Linked DNA regions of Sus scrofa. The main gene of each other region encodes a partner of the protein of the gene in region 3 in a complex. Links are inferred from orthologs where the notes say so. Each region holds a gene or a part of one and is shown on either strand. Other genes may lie near its edges. The genes, in order: OOEP, YWHAG and NLRP5.

Region 1 (2,475 bases), on a different chromosome or scaffold from region 3:
TCAAACCACCAGCTAGAAAGTGAAAGCTTCCCAGGAGAATTTTTGGCATTGCCTAAAAGCTTTTTAGAAAAGAAAATTCCATGGGCTCAATCTACTGCATCGAATCAGTGGAGAAGGGGACCAAGAAATTGTGTTTTAGGAAGTTTTCAAGATGACCCTTACACACAATAAAGTTTGAGAACAAATGATACAAAAGAAACTCAAAGCAGACTGACCATATAGTTCTGTACTCTGTGCTTGAAGGCCTGACTCTGACCATAAAATAATGATAAAAGGGTTAGTAGTTTCAAAACGGCAGAAACTAAACCCACCATCAGCCTTTTACCCACCTCTCACATCAAGACATGAATGAGCGAAGTCAATCTTTTATAAATTTGCTTTTATTTTTAGTGAGAAAAGATCTTTATGCTATTGAACAAAAAAGGAAATTCATTTATTTACTCAGTGGCATTACAAACTCACATTTACATCAAAATAATAAACAATCAGGACACAGGAAAAAAATGCAGAGATTTAAGGATATTTGCTTCTCTTGAACTTGAGTAGCAGAAGCAGGACTGTTCTCATGCTCCTGACAATGCTTATGCAACAGGATGCTGGGGGTTCTGGGGACCTGATGCAAGGGCCTTCAAGAATTCCTCGAGTTGTTCCATCTTTTCAGCTGGAAAAGGAAAAATGCTCACTGTTGCAAACTACTATTTCACAGGAGTTAGCGGAAGGGGAGCTCTGGCGACATCATTTCTCAGGGTGGAAGCTCTGAACCTAGGATCTGGAGGTAGTGGTGCCACCAAGCTGAGGCTGACGTGGGCAGTGATGGGCCTGAATGCATCATATCTCAGCCTACTTTCCCCATGTCCTATTTGGATTCTTCACAAAGAGATGCCCAGGGAGACTCTCTGCAACATGCTGGAATGAGGAAACTGCAAAACGCTTTGGGAAGATATGAGGCTGGAAGGAAGATAAGCACGACCAGGTGTTTTCTCTTGTGGCTCCCTCCACAGGCATGTTTTCCAAGATCCTTACCTCGGGCACGATGCTCTCGGTGCCTCGACGCTAGGCTAAGGAGGACGTTCTTCACCCGATGTTGTACAGTTGGTCGTCCAAAGACTGTGATTTCGACCAAGTTCTCGGCGTTAACTGTGTCTACCATCAGCAGGGCCTGGCTCATCCACTCAATCTTCGGAACCAGGACTTGGTTTGGGCCTAAAGAAGAGAGAGAGGCTGAGCAGCGGCACCGGTCAAAGAGCAGGAAGAGCTAGCTGTAAGGGAATGGGAGCAGGAAGGACTGGAAGCTGGGGAACTGGGCTGATGACCAGGGAACTGGGCTATAGAAAGCCGCCCAGGGGCCTGCTCCCAGCACACCCAGTCGCTCACCGAAGATGGAGTCAGCCAGCCACGCCTCCAGGGAAAACACCAATGGGTTTCTCAGCTCCTGCACAGGAAACCACCAAGGCCGGGTGTGAATCCGTGGCGCCAGAAGTGGTAACTCCAGCAGCCCTTTCTCCTGGGGAGATGTCGTCGACTCTGCCCCCTGGGCTTCGGTGGCACCTGCGCTGTGCATGCTTAGACCAGCGCTACCGTGGAGCTTGCAGGGGTGCGAAGCCCGGCCCTTTAGGGTGTCCTGCTGGCCCCGCCCCTGCTGGTGCACCTGGGCCCCTGCTGCCTCACCCGCTTGTTTGGTGCTGGTGCCCGGTGCTGCCCCGGCACTTCCTTCTCTGCGTGGGTCACCTGGACTTCCTTTTCCACCTTGAGTCTCTCCGAGCCTCTCCACCTGTAAGGTAACACTTAGCCTTAAGGTTCCAGCCTCGGAACACAGCTGATTGAAGTGTGGTTTGACTGAGCGGGAGTTTCTTCCATTGCCTGGTTAAGGTTTCCAAGGCCATGCCTAAGGCGTGCCAGGTCCAGGGCAGATTCCTGGAATCTGCAACTTCTCTCTTCTGTTCTCGTTTCCTGACTCTGGTTTGTTACCACTTCGAAATCATTCAAACAAATGTGTTGTGTTTAAAATATGGACTTCAGAAATTCTCTTGTGGCACAGTGGGTTAAGGATCCGTCGTTGTCACTGCAGTGGTGCAGATTAAGAGGGTTGGATTCCTGGCCTGGAAACTTCCATATGCCTTGGGCACTGCCAAAAATACATACATACTTACATACATAAAGACAGGGTTTCCTGCCTCTGCAGAAGGTTACATTGCTTTTATTTAAAAAAAAAAAAAAGATTGAAAATAAAATACAGACTTCAGAGGTGGTCATTCTAAAAAAACTTAGCAAGTGTAGACAAATCTCATTTCCAAAATCCTGAGACAACTAGTGTTGGTGCCCATTTCTTCCCAAGGTTCTTAATTTTAGTTAAAAATTTAAATTATGAAAGATTTCACACATTCAGAAAGCTGTATAAAACACTCATGTACTGCTCTCCATTTAACAAGATGTTAATATTTCCCACATTTGCCTCATTTCTCTTCTTTAAAATAG
Region 2 (2,654 bases), on a different chromosome or scaffold from region 3:
TTAAGTTAAGAAGAAGGGACCAAAAAAAATCCCACAGCCACCTGCCAAGCACCTGTTAACCAAAACCTAAAGTAGCTCTGATTCTCCTCAGGCAAGCCTTCCGGCCTAGGAGAGAGAGAACAGCAAAACCAACCTGGATAAGGCTGAATAAGGACGTACAAGCCACAGTAAAGAAAAATACACAATCAATGGCTTGATGTTACATATGGCTGTAATGTAGAAATACTGTAAACTGCAATTTAGTGTTAATACTGTCAACCAATCAGGAACTTCTGAAAACTGGCAACGCCTAACCCATAAGGATAAATATACCTTATGTTCTAAGTCTATCAGCTTGGGATTTAAACTATTCCATGTCTGGTAGAGTACACCCTGAAAAAAAAATGCACAGCTAAAACAGATGAGACAGAAAGTACCCAAAACTTAAGACAAGAGCATATGTACATAAAAATCCTTACTGGAACCACAGAACTTATTGAATGAGGGCCATTCCATTTAAGTTTTCAATTCATCTTTAAACCCTATGTTCTAGCAATAAGTTAAATTAAAGACAGCTCCACTTGCATTAATCTACAGAACAGTCCATAAGCCAGTGTGAGGCTGCTATTCCAATACCAGCACAGCTAGCCTGACTTTCCACTAGTGGTATTTTGGCAAAAATGTCAAAGAGGCGATCAAAGACAGGACAGGTCGTGGGTTTCTCCCTAGGAAGGTCATCCCTCCCTTTCCCTCCCCCACCCGACCCCCAACTCATGGGAAAAAATAAAGACTGCAGTAGTAGCATCAGCGTGCGCTGCCAGTCCACCTGGGGCCTTAATTGTTGCCTTCTCCACCGTCGTCGTCTTGCTGATCGCTTGTCCAGAGCGTGAGGTTGTCGCGGAGGAGCTGCATGATGAGCGTGGAGTCCTTGTAGGAGTCCTCGTTGAGGGTGTCAAGCTCGGCGATGGCGTCATCGAAAGCGGTCTTGGCCAAGTGGCAGGCTTGCTCCGGGGCGTTCTGGATCTCATAGTAGAAAACGGAGTAGTTAAGGGCCAGGCCTAATCTAATGGGGTGAGTGGGCTGCATGTGCTCCTTGCTGATCTCATGGGCTTCGCTATAGGCCTTCTCAGACGACTCCACGACGGTCGCCCTCTTCTCTCCAGTGGCTACTTCGGCCAGGTAGCGGTAATAGTCCCCTTTCATCTTCAGGTAGAACACTTTGCTCTCATACTGGGTCTCGCTGCAATTCTTGATCAGGTAGTTATCCAGCAGGCTCAGCACATCCTGACATACGGCCTCCAACTCCTTCTCTATTTTTTCACGGTAAGCACGGACCATCTCTATCTTCTTCTCATTGCCATCTGCAGAGGTCTTCTGCTCAATGCTACTAATGACCCTCCAGGAAGAACGGCGCGCCCCGACTACATTCTTGTAAGCCACAGAGAGAAGGTTTCTTTCTTCATTGGACAGTGGCTCATTCAGCTCTGTCACCTATTAAGGAGGAAAGAAGACAGAGTTGTTACGGTACAGATGATGTCAGCTGGATTAATCACTTCTTTATGCCGCTAAAACATCAGCTGCTAAGGTCATTAACAGTCAGAGAAGTTAGGCCGTGCAGCTCTATGGAAGGGGGACGGAGGTGGGACGAGCAACAACCAAGGAAAAAAAACTGCAGCTGGATCACTGGTGCCTCAACTCCTGCTTCCTTCCTAGAAAAGGACACACACACGTGTCACGTAGCTCTCCCGTAAGATGACAAACCAAATCTCGATCTACATTACAAAAGGTCAACAGCTCTCATGCAACATTACATAGATACCAATCCTCAGGACTTTAACTAGAGATGGCTTCCATACAGCATCAGTTTTTTAAAGAAAATGGAATAACAGCTTCTAAGCTTGACCTGCCAAATTTCAGTCCCAGCCCTCTGGATGAGAGTATCTTGCATGCTGGGTGAGAATATATCGAGTCAACTTCAAAGTTGACTTTTGAGAAACAAAGAAACTTTTCTGTTCTTACGTTAGTATAAACTAGAGTTCCTGCTGTGGTGCAGTGGGGTCAGTGCCGTGTCTGCAGCACCAGGATGCAGATGCAGGCTCAATCCCCGGGCCTGGCACAGTGGGTTAAAGGATCCCACCTCCCGCAGCTGCAGCGTAGGTCACAACTGCAGCTCAGATTTGATCCCTGGCCTGAGAATTCCATGTGCCACTGGGTGGCCGAAAAAGCAAAAAGGATAATATAAATTACAAACCTCAGAAAGAAAGTAAAAATTGGGGGCATGGGATTGACTCTATAATTACTGAGATATTTGCAACTCAGAGAATAAATACTTGAATACAATTAGCAAAAAGATGGAGAGGTGAGCAAAAAAAGCACTTCTGAGTTGAGGAGACCAATAGGAATGAATGCTTCTTTTTTTTCCCTTTTTATTTTTTTCTGTTATAGTTGATTTATAATGTTCTGTCAATTTCTGCTGTACAGCAAAGTGACCCATTCATACAGATATGAATGCTTCTTTCCATTGTACTTATTTATTTTTCTTGGCCATGCTTGCAACATGTGGAAGTTCCCAAGCCAGGAATCAAACTCTCACCACAGCAGAGACCTGAGCCACTGCCATGACAATGCCAGGTATGCAATCCGCTGTGCGGCAAGGGAAGTCCCAATGACTAAGA
Region 3 (3,757 bases):
AGGAGGTGAACATTACTTATGGAGAGACAAAGTTTATGGCTGGGTCACTCAAAGCAGATGCCTCGAAAGCACTTTCCTCAACATTTCTATACAACATTTACGTAAAGTATTGACCCTACTGGGAAAATATTTCTAAAATGCACTAAAAGGTTACATCCTAACCACAGAGCAGCTAACATTCCCTAGGTTAAATTAAATGAAAATGATATAGAGAGCAGACTTGTTGTTGCCAAGGGGGCAGGGGTGAGGGAGGGAGGGGGAGTTTGGGATTCACAGAGGCCAACTATTACATTTAGAAAGGATACACAACCAGGTCCTACTGAATAGCACAGGAACTATATTCTCTATCTTATGATAAACTGTAATGGAAAAGAATACACACACACACACACACACAAATTACTTTGCTTACAGCAGAAATTAACACAACATTGTAAGTCAACTATACTTCAATAAACTAAATTTTAAAAATACATGAAAAATTTCCTAGGTTTATTTTTCCCTCTAACATAAAACCACCTTGATACAGGGAGATTGAATACATAAAACAGGGAGTTCCTGTTGTAGCTCAGCAGACATGCATCTGACTAGGATCCATGAGGACCCAAGTTTGATCCTTGGCCCTGCTCAGTGGGTTAAGGATCTGGCGTTGCTGTGGCTGTGGTATAGGCCGGCAGCTACAGCTCCAATTTGACCCCTAGCCTGGAAACCTCCATATGCTGCAGGCGTGGCCCTAAAAAGATAACAAACAAACCAACAAGCCCCCAAACCTCCCCATTATTTGAGTTAGGTGACTAAATGAATACAGGAAGCTTGTTTAAAAGAGAATGCATTTCAGGTTGTCAAACCCAAACAGTATCGATCCACCATTTGAATTAAACATTTGCTTCACCACACAAAGCCATCCAGAGAGATTACAGGAGCCAGAACACCGTCCAACCCTCAGGGGTAATTACCACATCACTGTGGTTTAGAGACGGGTATTTTTAGGGTGATATTGAGAAGGTTTCTATGCTCGGAACTAAGAGCCATGGAAGTGGAAGAAGCTAAGAATGAAAACAGTGTGTTCTCTTTTAAATCCCTTTTCAGGAGATGTAGAGCATCTCGTGTAAACTTTGTATCAACAGTATCAATCTATAAAGATTCCTGCATTACTGTAACTCCGAGGGTATTACTGTCCTCGCTTTCCAGAGTGGAGAGCTGACGTTCTGAGGAGGAGAGCTTGCTCTGCTTTAGGAAGGAGCATGGCCAAACCCATCCGACTCTAATTCTCCATCTCCTCTAATATATTCTGGAGGGAAACCCACATGTTAAACCCCCAAGACAGGTGAGTCGAGGGGCGGAGAGTCCAGGTGGAAGGAATAAGGGGGGACAGGCTGATGGACCCCCTTCTCCCATAAAATCGAGGTGGGGTTGGTGAGAAGGCCAAGGCCTTCCAGGAGAGGCAAGAGGGTAGGTTGGAGGGCTAAGTCAAGACGATGGTCAGAGCTAATTTCTGGGAACAAATGACTCATCAGAGCTCCGTTTGTCTCTATCCTATAGGTACTAATTCCTGCAACACCTTTCTACACAGGTGTCTTGAAAAATCCCATGGAAACAGGTAAGACTCCAGGGCATGAAATCAGACCCAGTTTTGAATATTGATGTGCTTCTTGGTGCTCCAGGAAAAGCCACTTAACTCCTTTGTAACTCAGTTTCCTCACTTGACCAAGAACCCCCTCAGGACTGTGCAGCACTTCAATGACCCTGAGCTGCTGTTATCACCTTATCTGCAGAATTTACAGAGTAATTTGCCCGGACTCCTTTAAGACGTGGAGCAGACTTCTGCTGATCTCCACCCTGCTCTGTGAGCTCAGAGCACCCCAACCCTACCCTTTACTTCAGACCTAGAGCCTGGAAAGGGTTGCGAGATGTATGGAGGAAATACCCGAGACACCATGTGTGTTAGAGGTGGACCTTTTCATGAAAATGGGGAGATGGGGCACTTCCTTCTTGCTAAGGACACCTTTGGTCCCTGGACTCCTGCTAGTTTATACGGAGAGGAGGAGGGCAGAGCGTAGGGCTCACTGAATGGGTTCCCACCAGGAATGGAGGAAAAATGGGGAGAGAAAGATGTGGGAACAGGACAGAAGAAAACACTCACCAGCTCGCCTCCTCACCCCCAAGACTAGATCCCAACTGGCAACGACGGGGCGATGGGTCTTTGGGGAATCCTGGGCTGGTGACGTTGTTGCCGTCCATTGGCTGCCACGGCTCCAAACAGCCAGGGTAGATGTGGGGCAGCTGCTTTCTCTACCTGTATGCTCCACCCCCTTCCCACCTGTCAGGTGAAGATGCTGCATCACCCTTCCTAACCTGTGCCCAGGCCCTCTGGACAGAAACAGCCCTCACCTGGTTGCCCCAGAGCAAGGATGTGTGTGTCTCTCCTGATTTTACCTGACCTGGCATTTACCATTCTTGAATGATGCTGCTCTGGTTTGTTCAGTTGATTTTCTCCATGAAACTTATCCGGACTCCTGTGAGCTCATAGTATGTATTCCTGTTTGTGATCAAATAAATCCCCTGCCTTCTAAAGTACCATCTTAACACTGCTAATGATCAGGAAACGCAAATCCAAACCACCTTGAGCGCTCACCTTATACCTGTCAAAATGGCTATCATCAAAATGAGCTCACGTAACAACTGTTGGCAAGGATGTGGAGCAAAGGGAACCCATACGCCCTTCTGGTGGGAATGTAAGTGGGTGCAGCCATGGTGGAAAACAGCATGGAGACTGCTCAAAAAGCTAAGAGTAGAATGGCCATATGACCCGGCAGTTCCACTCCTGGGTATGTACCTGAAAACAAAACAAAGCAAAAACACTAATTTCAAAAGATCCATGCACCCCAGTGTTCATACAGCGTTACCCAGAATAGCCAAGATAGGGAAGCAGCTTGAATGTCCATCAATAGATGCATAAGGAAAATGTGGTATATATGAACGGTGAACTACCACTCAGCCATTAAAAAAGAATGGAATTTTGAAGTTCCTGTCATGGCTCAGTGGAAACAAACTCAACTGGTATCCATAAGGATGTGTGTTCCATCCCTGGCCCCACTCAGTAGTGAGCTGCGGTGTAGGTGGTAGATGAGGCACGGATCCAGAGTGGCTGTGGCTGTGGTGTAGGTTGGCAGCTGCAGCTCGGATCTGACCCCTAGCCTGGGAACCTCCATATGCCACACCTGCAGCCCTTGTCAACAACAACAACAAAAGAATGAAAAGTTGCCATGTGCAGCCACATGGATGGTCTGGGAGGGCTAGGTGAAATAAGTCAGGCAGAGAAAGACATAAATACTGTCTGATAGTCGCATGTGAAATCTGAAAGATACAACAAACGGGAGACTACAACAGAAAAGAAGCAGACACGGATTTGGAGAACACGCTACTGGTTACCAGTGAGGGGGGAGGGTAAACAGGTGTTGGGGAGTGGGAGCCATAAACCATTGGGTGTGAGATGGGCTCAAGGAGGGTTTGTACAACACGGGGAATAGAGCCAGTATGTTGTCCTAACTTTAAATGGAAAGTCACCCTTGAAAACTGTCTAAAAAATAAAAAAGGGCTCATCTTGGTGAATAGTAACAGCAGCCACTTTGGGCCTCAAATCTCTACATTAGTGATTATTTCCCAAAGCATTTATTTGCCCCAGCTTTCTTGAGGTAACTGTCAATACTGTGTAGATTTTTTTAAAAAAATTATAGGAGTATGGTTGACTTATGAC

Evidence for each region.
Region 1: the proteins of NLRP5 (region 3) and OOEP are in contact, whole or in part, in a cryo-EM structure (PDB 8H93), measured with the Mus musculus proteins. The link is inferred for Sus scrofa from reciprocal best matches to the Homo sapiens genes NLRP5 and OOEP. Residues at the interface, in NP_035990.1 of Mus musculus: Glu173, Leu176, Leu195, His196, Gly202, Leu206, Asn322, Leu325, Glu326, Tyr337, Ile338, Leu339, Val340, Glu341, Gly342, Leu343, Ser344, Ala345, Ser346, His373, Asn625, Gln626, Asp652, Ser655, Glu661, Leu662, Cys663, Pro664; in NP_080756.1 of Mus musculus: Ser26, Leu27, Arg28, Leu29, Arg30, Thr31, Arg32, Ile38, Val41, Asn43, Tyr48, Met49, Leu75, Leu86, Glu88, Pro95, Thr99, Lys102.
Region 2: the proteins of NLRP5 (region 3) and YWHAG are in contact, whole or in part, in a cryo-EM structure (PDB 8XI3), measured with the Mus musculus proteins. The link is inferred for Sus scrofa from reciprocal best matches to the Homo sapiens genes NLRP5 and YWHAG. Residues at the interface, in NP_035990.1 of Mus musculus: Ser1030, Cys1031, Ser1055, Gln1058, Cys1059, Pro1060, Val1061, Glu1084, Phe1087, Val1088, Lys1089; in NP_061359.2 of Mus musculus: Phe201, Tyr216, Thr220, Met223, Gln224, Arg227, Asp228, Thr231, Ser235.

What each region holds. Positions count from the first base shown.
Region 1 is NC_010443.5:53,006,317-53,008,791, forward strand, and holds OOEP (oocyte-expressed protein homolog), read right to left. Parts: upstream 1,562-2,475; coding exon 1,375-1,561; intron 1,204-1,374; coding exon 1,024-1,203; intron 662-1,023; coding exon 582-661; downstream 1-581. UniProt on the Homo sapiens protein: Component of the subcortical maternal complex (SCMC), a multiprotein complex that plays a key role in early embryonic development.
Region 2 is NC_010445.4:10,018,715-10,021,368, reverse strand, and holds part of YWHAG (14-3-3 protein gamma), read right to left. Parts: intron 1,471-2,654; coding exon 814-1,470; 3' UTR 806-813; intron 1-805. UniProt on the Homo sapiens protein: Adapter protein implicated in the regulation of a large spectrum of both general and specialized signaling pathways. Binds to a large number of partners, usually by recognition of a phosphoserine or phosphothreonine motif.
Region 3 is NC_010448.4:60,374,222-60,377,978, reverse strand, and holds the start of NLRP5 (NACHT, LRR and PYD domains-containing protein 5), read right to left. Parts: upstream 2,310-3,757; 5' UTR 2,144-2,309; intron 1-2,143. UniProt on the Homo sapiens protein: Component of the subcortical maternal complex (SCMC), a multiprotein complex that plays a key role in early embryonic development.